2 linked regions of the Coturnix japonica genome follow. The protein of the gene in region 1 interacts with the protein of each later gene in a pairwise test. Links are inferred from orthologs where the notes say so. Each region holds a gene or a part of one and is shown in the gene's direction. Other genes may lie near its edges.

Evidence for each region.
Region 2: the proteins of ZMYND19 (region 1) and TNFAIP1 interact in binary tests that used the Homo sapiens proteins (3 or more experiments, as listed by UniProt). The two-hybrid records come from large-scale screens. The link is inferred for Coturnix japonica from reciprocal best matches to the Homo sapiens genes ZMYND19 and TNFAIP1.

What each region holds. Positions count from the first base shown.
Region 1 is NC_029532.1:877,267-882,475, forward strand, and holds the start of ZMYND19 (zinc finger MYND domain-containing protein 19), read left to right. Parts: upstream 1-1,916; 5' UTR 1,917-2,005; coding exon 2,006-2,056; intron 2,057-2,216; coding exon 2,217-2,276; intron 2,277-3,127; coding exon 3,128-3,234; intron 3,235-5,209. Other genes in the region: protein STPG3, read right to left, coding at 483-588, 1,266-1,345, 1,435-1,438. UniProt on the Homo sapiens protein: May be involved as a regulatory molecule in GPR24/MCH-R1 signaling.
Region 2 is NC_029534.1:8,043,715-8,048,883, forward strand, and holds the start of TNFAIP1 (BTB/POZ domain-containing adapter for CUL3-mediated RhoA degradation protein 2), read left to right. Parts: upstream 1-1,719; 5' UTR 1,720-1,822; exon of another isoform or gene 1,823-2,034; intron 2,035-2,057; exon of another isoform or gene 2,058-3,220; 5' UTR 3,221-3,416; intron 3,417-3,543; 5' UTR 3,544-3,702; coding exon 3,703-3,919; intron 3,920-5,169. Other genes in the region: IFT20 (intraflagellar transport protein 20 homolog), read right to left, coding at 406-487, 824-927, 1,425-1,510, 1,593-1,719. UniProt on the Homo sapiens protein: Substrate-specific adapter of a BCR (BTB-CUL3-RBX1) E3 ubiquitin-protein ligase complex involved in regulation of cytoskeleton structure.

The sequences.
Region 1 (5,209 bases):
TCACTTCGGCCCCACCAGCATCCTGGGGTGGGGAGGAGCCTTCTCAGTGCACAGCTATTTTTCTGAAGGGAGTGGGAATGAAATTCCTCCCAAGATTCTGCTTAAGCCTGAAGTGTGGCTTTGGGCTACGCTGCCTGAGTGCACAGCAGTCATGCACTAGGAATGCATCTCGTACAGCTTGTGAAGCATAAAATGTACATAATGTTAGCATGGAGATCAGGAGAAATCACCTGTTTGCACATGACTGGACAACAGGCTGCTGAGATAAGGCCTTGTGCCTGCTCTGCTCTGTGCTGCTCTGCCCAGTGGGGAGAAGGACAGAGCTTCCCAAAGGTGGACATCTTCCACCTGAGATGCTCATTGAGCAGCAGTGCGATAACTTCACATTGGGCTCATGGGCAGGAGTGGGATGTGCAGCTGCAACAAGGGGTTGCCAGGGTCCCTGGATGAAGGCTGGGCTGGGTGGGGGGGGTTGTGCTGACCGATAGGTTTACGGTTCCTGAGAACATCCAGGTTTGTCCGCTGCTCTCTGATGTAGGGTGGGTACATGGCTCCGTCAGGCTGAGGGCAGCACAGGCTGCACAAGGGCTGCAGTGAAATGGAGAAAGGCATAACACAAAATTACCTTCTATTCCTTCAAACAGCCTATACATCAGCCTATAGCTGTACCACACATCCCAGCCCCGACTATCAGTCTGTAAGATCTCATGCAGCCTCATCAGCAGCTGCAGGAGCTCTCCTGCTTTCTGCTGCCCTTTGTTCCTCCAGCTGTTTGTAGGGCCTTTCTCTGGGGGGGACCAGGGAATAAAGCAAAAGAGCAACATCCCAGACACTTATTTTTAACTCTTTGACTTGGAGGCTCCAAGCAAGGAGGCTTTGGTGCTCTCCAAGTGAGCTCTGCTTTGGATTCAGCACATTCCTCACCTCTCCAAGAACACAACTTGCAACAGATTCTGGCTTTGTGTAAGAAAGAACATCTCCAAGTGGCCCCAGGCTGCGATGGGGACACTGCTGTGTTGGGGGGACCTGGGGAAACACCATTGTCCAGGCTGGCTCCATTCCAGCTGAGGTTTGCAATGATCATCACTGATGGGGAGGGCAGTTCGGCAGAGCGGTGCCTCTTTCAGAAGCACCTTTAGTTTAAAGAGCTTTAAGGTGCTCGCTAACCTCAGCCTTAGCAGAGCCCCTGCTCTGCCAATGGTTCATTTCATCCCACCCAAACTCCCGAGGCAGGAGGCGCAGGGACGGACACAGTAAGAACCTACATTAAATCCATGTTCCACCTTCACTCTCCTGCTGGCCGGCCCCGAGCTCGGACAGTTCTTCCCACTGCGGCGCGATGCATCTGTACGAGGACAGACGGGAGGAGCCGTATTGAGCCCTGTGAGCGCTGCCCACGGCCCCATTTATTTCCCCACATCCCCCATATTTTACCCATGTTTCCTCTTCTGCCCGGATCCGGTCACTAGTTTGGATGCAGCAGCCCCGGCCTTTCGGTGCTGCCCGTTCGCTCCGGTTCCCGCGCACAGCCCCCGCTTTGTGTCCAGGCCGCTGTCAGGCCTTCGGGGCTTCGCTGTGCCCCCCAGCCTCCAAGTTTCGCTCTATTTATCGCTATACCCATAACGCATCGCCCCGCTCCCGGCCCATTTACCCCCGTTACCCCCCCGGCCCCGCCCCTCCCTCCGTTCAGGCGGCACAAAGCTTCCCGCGAAAGTGACGTCACCGCGCGCGCCGCCTCCTCCCGCTCCCGAACCCGCGCCCGCGCGCGCCCCCATCCAGCTCCTCCCGCCCTCCTTTCCCACGTGACCCCGCTTCGCGCCGCTCTCCCATTGGCCGCTCCGGCGTCGTCGTGAGATCGACGCGCGCATTTCCCGCCCCGCCATTGGTCGCTGTGTGTGTGTGGCGCTGGGAGGTGGCGCGCCGCCCCGCCCCCCCCCGGTGTGCGCCTGGCGGCGGCGCGTGGCAGCGGCTCCCGCGCGCGGCTCCGAGTTGGCGCGGCCCGGCCATGACGGACTTCAAGCTGGGCATCGTGCGGCTCGGCCGCGTGGCCGGGAAGGTGCGGGGGGATGGGATGGGGATGGGAGACGGGGGGACGCGGCGGGAGGACGGACGGACCGAGGGGGGGGCGCGGCCGGGAGCGTCGGGCCGGGCTCGGCCGCACGGAGCTGGGCCGGGCGGAGCGCGGGGCGGCGGCTGAGCGCGGTGCTGTGTTACAGACCAAGTACACGCTGATCGACGAGCAGGACATCCCGCTGGTGGAGAGCTTCTCCTTCGAGGTGAGCCCCGCGCCGCCCCGGGAACCGACCCCGAGGGATCCGCTCCCCGCCCCAGCATCCGCCCCGGCCCCGCAGCCCCCGACCCGCCGGGCAGCCCCGCAGCCCCGACCCGCCGCTCCGTCCCCGCCGCCCGTTCCCGTCCCAGCGCTGCCGGCCCGTTTCCCGGCGCTCCCCCTGTCGGAGTGGGAAAGTTGCGAGGTTCCCTCCGCACGTGGGAGCGGATCCGTCCCGCCCCGAGCTCTGCTGGTGCCGCCCGCGCCCCCGGGGCTGGGAAGGCCGAGCGCTGCCGGGCTGTGCTGAGCGCTGTGCTGAGCGCTGTGCTGAGCGCTGTGCTGAGCGCTGTGCTGAGCGCTGTGCTGAGCTCCGAGCTGTGCTGAGCGCCGCCGCGTTTCCTCCGCGCGGCCATAGTGACAATAGTGAGGCCCCACGTGCGGCGCTGCGTCCGGCCAGGAGAGGGGGGGAGCTGTGGGGGGGTCCAGCACCTCCATCGTGGGGCGGGGGGAGAGGAGATCCGGGTCTGATCTGGGGGGAAATCCTTTCCTCAGAGGGCGGTGAGGCCCCGCAGCGCTGCCCAGAGCGGTGGGTGCCCGTCCTGAGGTGCTCAAAGCTGTGGATGGGCCCTGGGCAGCCTGAGCTGGGGGGGTTTGGGGTCCATGTCAGCACAACCATCCCATGGAGCCGTAGCAGTAGAGGTTCGTTCTTGCTGGAGATCTGAAACAAGCACAATTCCACGGCAATTCAGTGTCCTGTGGACACGTGGGAGGTGCTGCCTGTCCCTACCGCTGTCCCACTGCAGCTCACTCTCTGCTGCTCAGCACCAGTTGATCTCACGCTCTTCCCCTTCTCTCCAGGCTCGCATGGAGGTGGATGCTGATGGAAATGGTGCTAAAATATTTGCTTACGCTTTTGACAAAAACCGTGGAAGGGGATCCGGCCGCCTGCTGCACGAGCTGCTCTGGTGGGTATCACAATAGGGCCCGGGGCTGTTACTGCACACAGCATTTGGGGCCTCATTCAGAGCCCAGAGCAGTGCTGCAATGCCCTGGCCTGGCTCTGTTTTGCACCGTGCCCTGAGATAGCTGATGCTCCAATAATGTTATTTCTAGGGAGGGTGGTTACAGGTGAGTATTGTGTTGCTTCAATCTGGGAAATGCGACTGAATCTTCACTTGGGGCTTCTTCTGTCCTGAGATGAGCAGGTAGGTGAGAAGTGACAGACTGTGGATAGAGCAGCTGATAGCCCACAACTTAGGGGACTTTGCTCGTCTTTCTGGATCCTGAAGGGTGCTGCTGCTTCCTACACTGCTGTGTCTGCTCCCCTTGTGGCAGGGAGCTTTGCCTGAAGTTCTTTGTAGCTGCCATTAGGACTCAGAGCCCAGCAACTGGTTGTCAGAGGCACTTTGTAAATGTGTTCTTCATGGGTTTATAGGAAAGCTGGGCTATGTTGAAGAGAACCATTATTTATTTTTAAAAGCCTTTTCTGAAGAATTAAACATGCTTTCTGTTCAGTCCCATAAACTGTAATGAAAGAGCACCCAAGATCTCCCTGTACTTTCTTCATTGCTTGAGGTTACTTGTTCTCCCCCAGCTCAGTCCCTGGATGAGAGAGGCAGGAAAAACGCCAGGCACAATTACTCTTATTTTAAATCTGCTCATTAAATATGGATTTTAACCTGCTCTGTTATTGTTTAATCTGACAGTACACAACTTTGGAAATGAGTCAGAATTTGGCTGCACTGTGTGGTGTGAGTGGGGCTGTCAGCCCCTGCTCACTGTGCAGCTCACAGCAGAGCCTGCAGTGCTTGCCTTGCTCCAGCGTGTGCAGGGCTTTGCGTACAGCTCAGTCATTGCCTCTCTCATTAGCTGGACTTCTGTTAGGAAACAGCTGTAACATGCTCAGTTGGGTAACTCAAATCGTGTGACTTCACCATAGTGAAGCTGGTGTCAAACCCCCGAGGTTCTGAGTGATGGGGATTTTTGGAGGCGAGCTGTGAGCTGCCCTGCAAGCCAACCTGCAGGTCTGGAGATACAGTCAGGTTCTTTGGGAAGCACTGAGCATTTCAGCTGTTCTCTAAAGTTGGTTTGGTCCCTCTGAAGGCGTCTGTTTTGCTGTGGTCTTTAATTACACGCTACCACGAGGCAGCTCGGTGCGCTTTGCTGCCTGAGCCTCCTTGTATCTCTGAGAAGCCTCTTGGCTGCAGGTGCTGCGTAGTGCTGACCCTCCTATCAGCACGCTGTGCTGCTCTCCTTGTGCTGCAGCTGTTCTGAAAACAAACCTGCAGTGTGTTGAGCTGAAGGACCATCCCCCGCATGAGCTCTGGGACAGCAGACAGGGCTGCAGGGGCCCCGTGAGGGAGATGGGTGGCAGCACCCATCACAGCTGCATTTCCTGCATGAAGGAGAAGCAGAGAGCTTGAGTTACTGCATGTAGCGGAGTGCAGGTGTTCCACCTGTCCTGTGCATCCCCTTCCTCAGAATCTCACTCTAAAGGGACAAACCTGATGCTCCATCAGCCCCTTTCAGCAGACTCTTTTCCATGCTTCTTCTTGGTTTCTTCCCTAAATCCAGGCTGGCGTGAGTTAATATGCAGCTGTTCCTACTTTGGGTTCAAGCAAGTTGCAGTAGTTTCTCTTAGTCAATATGCAGGCATTGCAGGCTGTCTGTTATTCACAATTAGTCAAAAATATTCGCCTGTTTGGTGGTGAAAGCCCTGTCCTGTTGCTTAAGAGACGTACTCAGTAAATGAAAAACTGACTCACGCCAGTGCCAAACTTGAACATATAATAGAAACTATTAATATTAAAACAGTAAAACAATATTAGCTCCATTCAAGCTGTAACATTAATAATTACATGGGTGCTGGTGCTGAAACTGGAATGATGGTTTCTGGAGGTTTCTGTGCAATATTCTTAGAATTCAAATGTACCAGGATTG
Region 2 (5,169 bases), on another chromosome or scaffold:
AAACTTACGAGCTCCCCAGTAACAAAGCAGAAGAAGCTAATTCTGGTATGTCCAAGTAGGTGACAAACAAAAGTTTATTGCCTGATTTCATTGAAAGAGCTGTACATTTCAAAAAGGGAGAGAGACATTAACAGAGGAACAGCAGTATTAATTCAACTACAGATTGAATCTGAACTACTGACTGTATAAAACCTTTATAAAAATCAAAGGACAGAACAGTCTTACAGCTGTTAGAAAGCCCTCCTTATTGCCACTTGTAGTGTAACTCACACTGCATTAAAAAACACTTTTATTTGCACAAACCATCCTTATTTATTTGCACACAGTGAAAAATTGCATATTTCTGAAATAGTCAAAGAGTCTGGAATGCTCGTGTTTCCAAGCTGGTCTTTATCTTAAAGTCTTCTATTTCTGAAAAATAAATTGGTCAATGAATTCATTCTGATCCGCTTCAATTTTACACAGACTCTCATATTCTATTCGATATCTGAAAGACAAAGAAAATAGGTTACCAGCTGATATTTTAGTGCAGTGCTCACCAGTCTGAGAGCGAAGCTCAGGGCTTCGTGTGTGTCCTTTTTAAGGCAACAGTCACATGAATTAGACTTGACAGTTCTAAAAAGCCTTTAGAAGTCACCTGCCTGCCACTCTTACTGTTTTATTAATTTCCACAGTTGTATGATCTCACATCACCTCTATCCGGATAGCCACAAAGCCATTAGAAATGATCCTTCTCAGTACGTGGCTGTTTCTCTCACATCTACACAGCTTTCTTTCCCAACTATTACGTCCATGCCCCAAAAACACTTAATAGGAAGCTCACCTTTCCAGCTGCATCTTTTTCTCAGCTATTAAAGCCCGCAGCTGCTGTTCCTGTGCTTCCCTTTGCTTTGCTATAGACTTCAGCAGATTCCGTGCACCGATGGCCTGTCAAAACAGACGTTTGTGATGGATCTGTACAAGGAGTTTTAACCCCTTTCACTACCAGCAGGTCGCGATGAAAGTCTTTCAGCCGTGCTAAGAGCAAAGGGGGCATCGTCCTGCTGGATGGGCTGTGGAGCAAACACAGTCCCTGTAGGGGCTGGGCGGGTTGAGGCATCTGAGGCTTCCTTCCAACCTGGGATATTCCTAACAGTGTGAAATAAACTGACCCCCTGGTGGCTGCTACCAACAGGAGGCTCAGGAGTTTCTCCCACAGAACAAACAAGGGAAAAGTAATCACAGCTGTGCTGAAAATTCATCTCCAACCCCATAATAAAGTGAGAAGATAAAGAGCGCTTGGTGACGTGTATTAGTGCACGTTTCTGAGGTAGTTACAGAGGTTTTTACTGCGTGAATCGTTGGACAGCCCTGTCCTCAGAGCCCACCATGAGCTGCGTCCTGCCAGGAGGTGTGACTACAAGGACAGCCCCAACGGACCGTACCTTCATCTTCTCGCTCTCGACAGCTCTGGCCAACTGGTCCATGAGCTCGATCAGGCCGCCCACCGTGCTCTGGAATTGCGCTATTTCTGAAAGAAAAACGGTCCCGCGTTCGTGGCTGTCAGCGCTGCGCGGAGTGAAGCGGCGCCCCCCGCCCCGCCCCGCACTCACTGTCCACGAAGGCCTTGCACTCCTCGCGGAGCTGCGCCGTTTGCTGCGCCACGTCGGGGTCGAGGACGCGCAGCTTGTTGAGCTCGTCGAAGTGCAGCCCCGCCGCGCCCAGCGCCTCCTGCGCCATCCCGGCACCGCTCGGATACACGGAGCCACAGGAAGCGCTGCAGGGTGCGGCGCAGCGCGCAGGAAGTGACGGGCTGCAGCGGGGGGGACGGCGGCCACGGGCGGTGAGCGGACTGTAGGGCCGGGCGGTGAGCGGACTGTAGGGCCGGGCGGTTCGGTGACGTGGGGCCGCGCGGGCGGGGCTGCGGACGCGGAACTTCGGTGTGGCCGCCGCGTTCGGGCCGGGGACGTTGCGGAGGCCACGGACGCGCCGCCCGACGGCCCCGCGACACCCGGTCGGCGCTGCCCGGACAGGCCGGAGCGGCCCGCGCAGCCGGTACGGGGCAGGGGAAGAGCGGGGCGGGGCGGAGCGCGTGTCCGGGCCCCGCCGGTTCAGCTCGGGGCGCAGTTGTCGCTTTGTCCTGTTGCTTTCTCTGCTTTGTGCGTCTTTTTTCCTTTGTCTCTTCTCGTTTTCTCCCCTCGCGCCGTTAGTCCCGCTCCTTTTCGTGGCCGTGCTGAACAGGGGCCGCTTCCTGACGGCGGTGCCGTTGTTGTGCTGCGCTCCGGCCGGAAGGGAAACGGGGCAACATTTATGCGTGTGTTAATGTGGGTAATTAAAGGTTCAGTCTGTGTTTATCGCAGGAGCCTCCTACGTGATCGATGATCAGGGACCTCAGTGACGTTTTGTCTCCCCGGACACGCTGTGCAGCGGGTTCTCATTTTGCTTTTTGGTTGTTTTTTTGCTTCGTCCTTCTTGGTCAGAAACGTAGCGACGTGCCGGAGGTGCGGCAACTACAGAAACCTTCACTAGTGCACGTGTTCAGAGATGCCGCTGCTGAGACTGGAAAGCTTCGTGCACACCCAGAGCTCGTTACGGACTCTGGCTGTCCTTAAAAACACGCTTTTATTTTGGAGGAAGGGCTCCTGTGGTCTGAAGCAGGATGGGACACCGAGGGCAAACCTGCAGCCCTGAGCCATGGTGCTGTTTTCTCTGGAGGTTGTAGGTGTAGGACAGTGCGCTGCTGCTGCTGCTTCTGGTTTACTTCGGTGTATGACAATATAACCTAGAGTTGACAAAAAGTAACTTTGTTGCTGGCAACATGGATTTCTCTGGAGCTGCTTTATTTGTGCAATTAACTTCTTACAGAACACAACTGTAATAAGCAGCTGCTAGTTGCTGTTGCTGGGTTACTGGTGGGGAATTGCTCCTCTGAGCAATATTGTGCTGGCTTTTAACTGAGACAAATACTCCAAAGACCAGACATTTTTTAGGCGTACCCATCCTGAAACAATAATAATAGAAACTACATGACATCGACTGTTGGTTTTTCTAGGAGTGAAGGGGGGAAAAGAAGTAGAATAAAAGGAGTTTCGAGGAAATAGAATGTAATGTTCCAGCACTGCAGTATCAAGTCGTTTGAAGAAGTTGGAGCTGCTATAAGAATATCACGTTAAAATATTTTTTATGTAATCGCCAGATGAAAGAATTGGACAAAGCTCTTCCATTTGTTTCCCTCCTGCAGGCAGAAAAGTTATTTCGGGAAGTTGAACGGGATCTGAATCCCATCTAGCACTTAACCTTGGGCTGCAGTGTTGTGTGTTGATTGTAATGCTGGCTGAAGACTGAATAACAGGAAGCCCAGAGGAGTTCAGCTTGCCTCACTAACAGTAATGAAGTCGTAATATGACTGTGATGTTAAACAGCTTCTGTATTGCTGTGTAAGTTGTTTGAAAATACACCTGCATTTTGTTTTGTCAGCACATTTGTAGGTGTGTCCTTAAGAATGTACTGAATTTGTCTCTTCGTTGTGGGCTTCATGGCTTTGTTTCTTTGTGTAAATTCTAGGCTTCTGTGTTGATCTTAAACATTTCCATTCCAAGAGTCTGGTGGCTATGACCATTTTTGCCTTCCCATCTTCGCCCAGTGACTCGTGACTCGTTGCCAATCACGGCGGAATCCATCAAACCCACACTCTGCAGGGTCGTCATCTACCTACAGAAGGAGATGTCGGGGGACACGTGTCTAACCACCACCCTGTGTCCAGCTGTGGGCCCCAAGCCTAAAACCTGCAGCTTCAAAGTCGGCAGCCTCGGTAACAAGTACGTGCGACTAAATGTCGGGGGCTCCTTGTATTACACTACAGTGCAAGTCCTGACCAGGCATGACACGATGTTGAAGGCCATGTTCAGTGGCAGAATGGAAGTTCTCACAGATAAGGAAGGTAAGTAAATGTCTTTTGTTGTTGAGAATCTTGTAAAACAACTATTGGAGTATTTTTTTGTTTGTTTTTAATGCATATTAAAGCTATGCTCAATGAAGGGTGTGGAGAAAGCTGTATTCCAAAAGGAGCCAGGAACATCAGGCTGCCAGATCCCATTGGCTCTACCTGTGCTTTATATAAATTGTCCTTTTGTTATTAAAATTAACAAGCAGAAGGGCTGGTTCTCTTTCCTGCAGTCACAGGTGGTAGGCAGATCGTTGATGTTTTTATGAAGACTGGACAGTATGTGGGCTGTCATATCTACAGTGCATTAATCAAAATGTCTTTAGGGAGGGGAGAGTCAGTTTTCAGCTTTAAAACTCAACACAGCCTTGATTGCTGTGTTGAAGATTTTCAGATAGGCTGAATCTTGTTGAGTGTCACGTAAGGCTGAATCTGTTTGGCCCAGCAGTTCTGTGTAAGAGCCCCAATCTACCAGAATGGAGGATGAGATTTGTCTTCAGGCAGCTTTAGCTGGAGAATCTGGCAGTGGTTTAACCCTCTTTCCTATGTTACCTTATATGTCTAGATCCTAAAATATAAAGAACTTTGGGTTTTTTTTTTTGGTTTTTTTTTTTTTTTGGTCTGCCTTCCACTTCATGAACAATGATTGGGCACTTTATTAAGCCCTCTGTCTGTGTGTGTCCTTTGCTATTGTTTGCCAGCAAGTCAGACATCCTGTTTCCCAGTGAATGTGACTGCAGGGAAGTTTCAGCATCACAAAAACTGTCTACTGCTGTTTCCTGTGCTGGATCCCCCCGTTCCTCGTCTTCCTGATCCATCCTTGTCCTGTTCCTTCCTCCTGTTTGGATACTGGAGCAGCATTTTTCCCTCACTGGATTTGTCAATTAAATAGATGTGCACTGGTGACTTCCTGTAGTAATTAGAAAGGTTTATGCCTTTAATTGGAACAAAATACAAAAAGGATGAAGCACAGAAAATAACTTTGGTACAATGGCTGATCAATAGATACGGTGCAGTCAAGTTCTTGCTGCAGTTTTTTAAATGTCAAGTGATAGGAAGCTCATGGCTTCTCTTCTGAGGTGCTGGAAAGTAGTGAGAATACAGACAAGGTGCCAAGGGAGAGGTTCCGCTGTTAGTTTCTGTTCTGTAACAAATACCAATTTGTTGAAAGTCAGTGAAGTCTTCCCCTGAATGGAATCAGAAGAATGTCTTGTAGTTTCAGGCAGCAGCTGACTCACTGGGGAGGT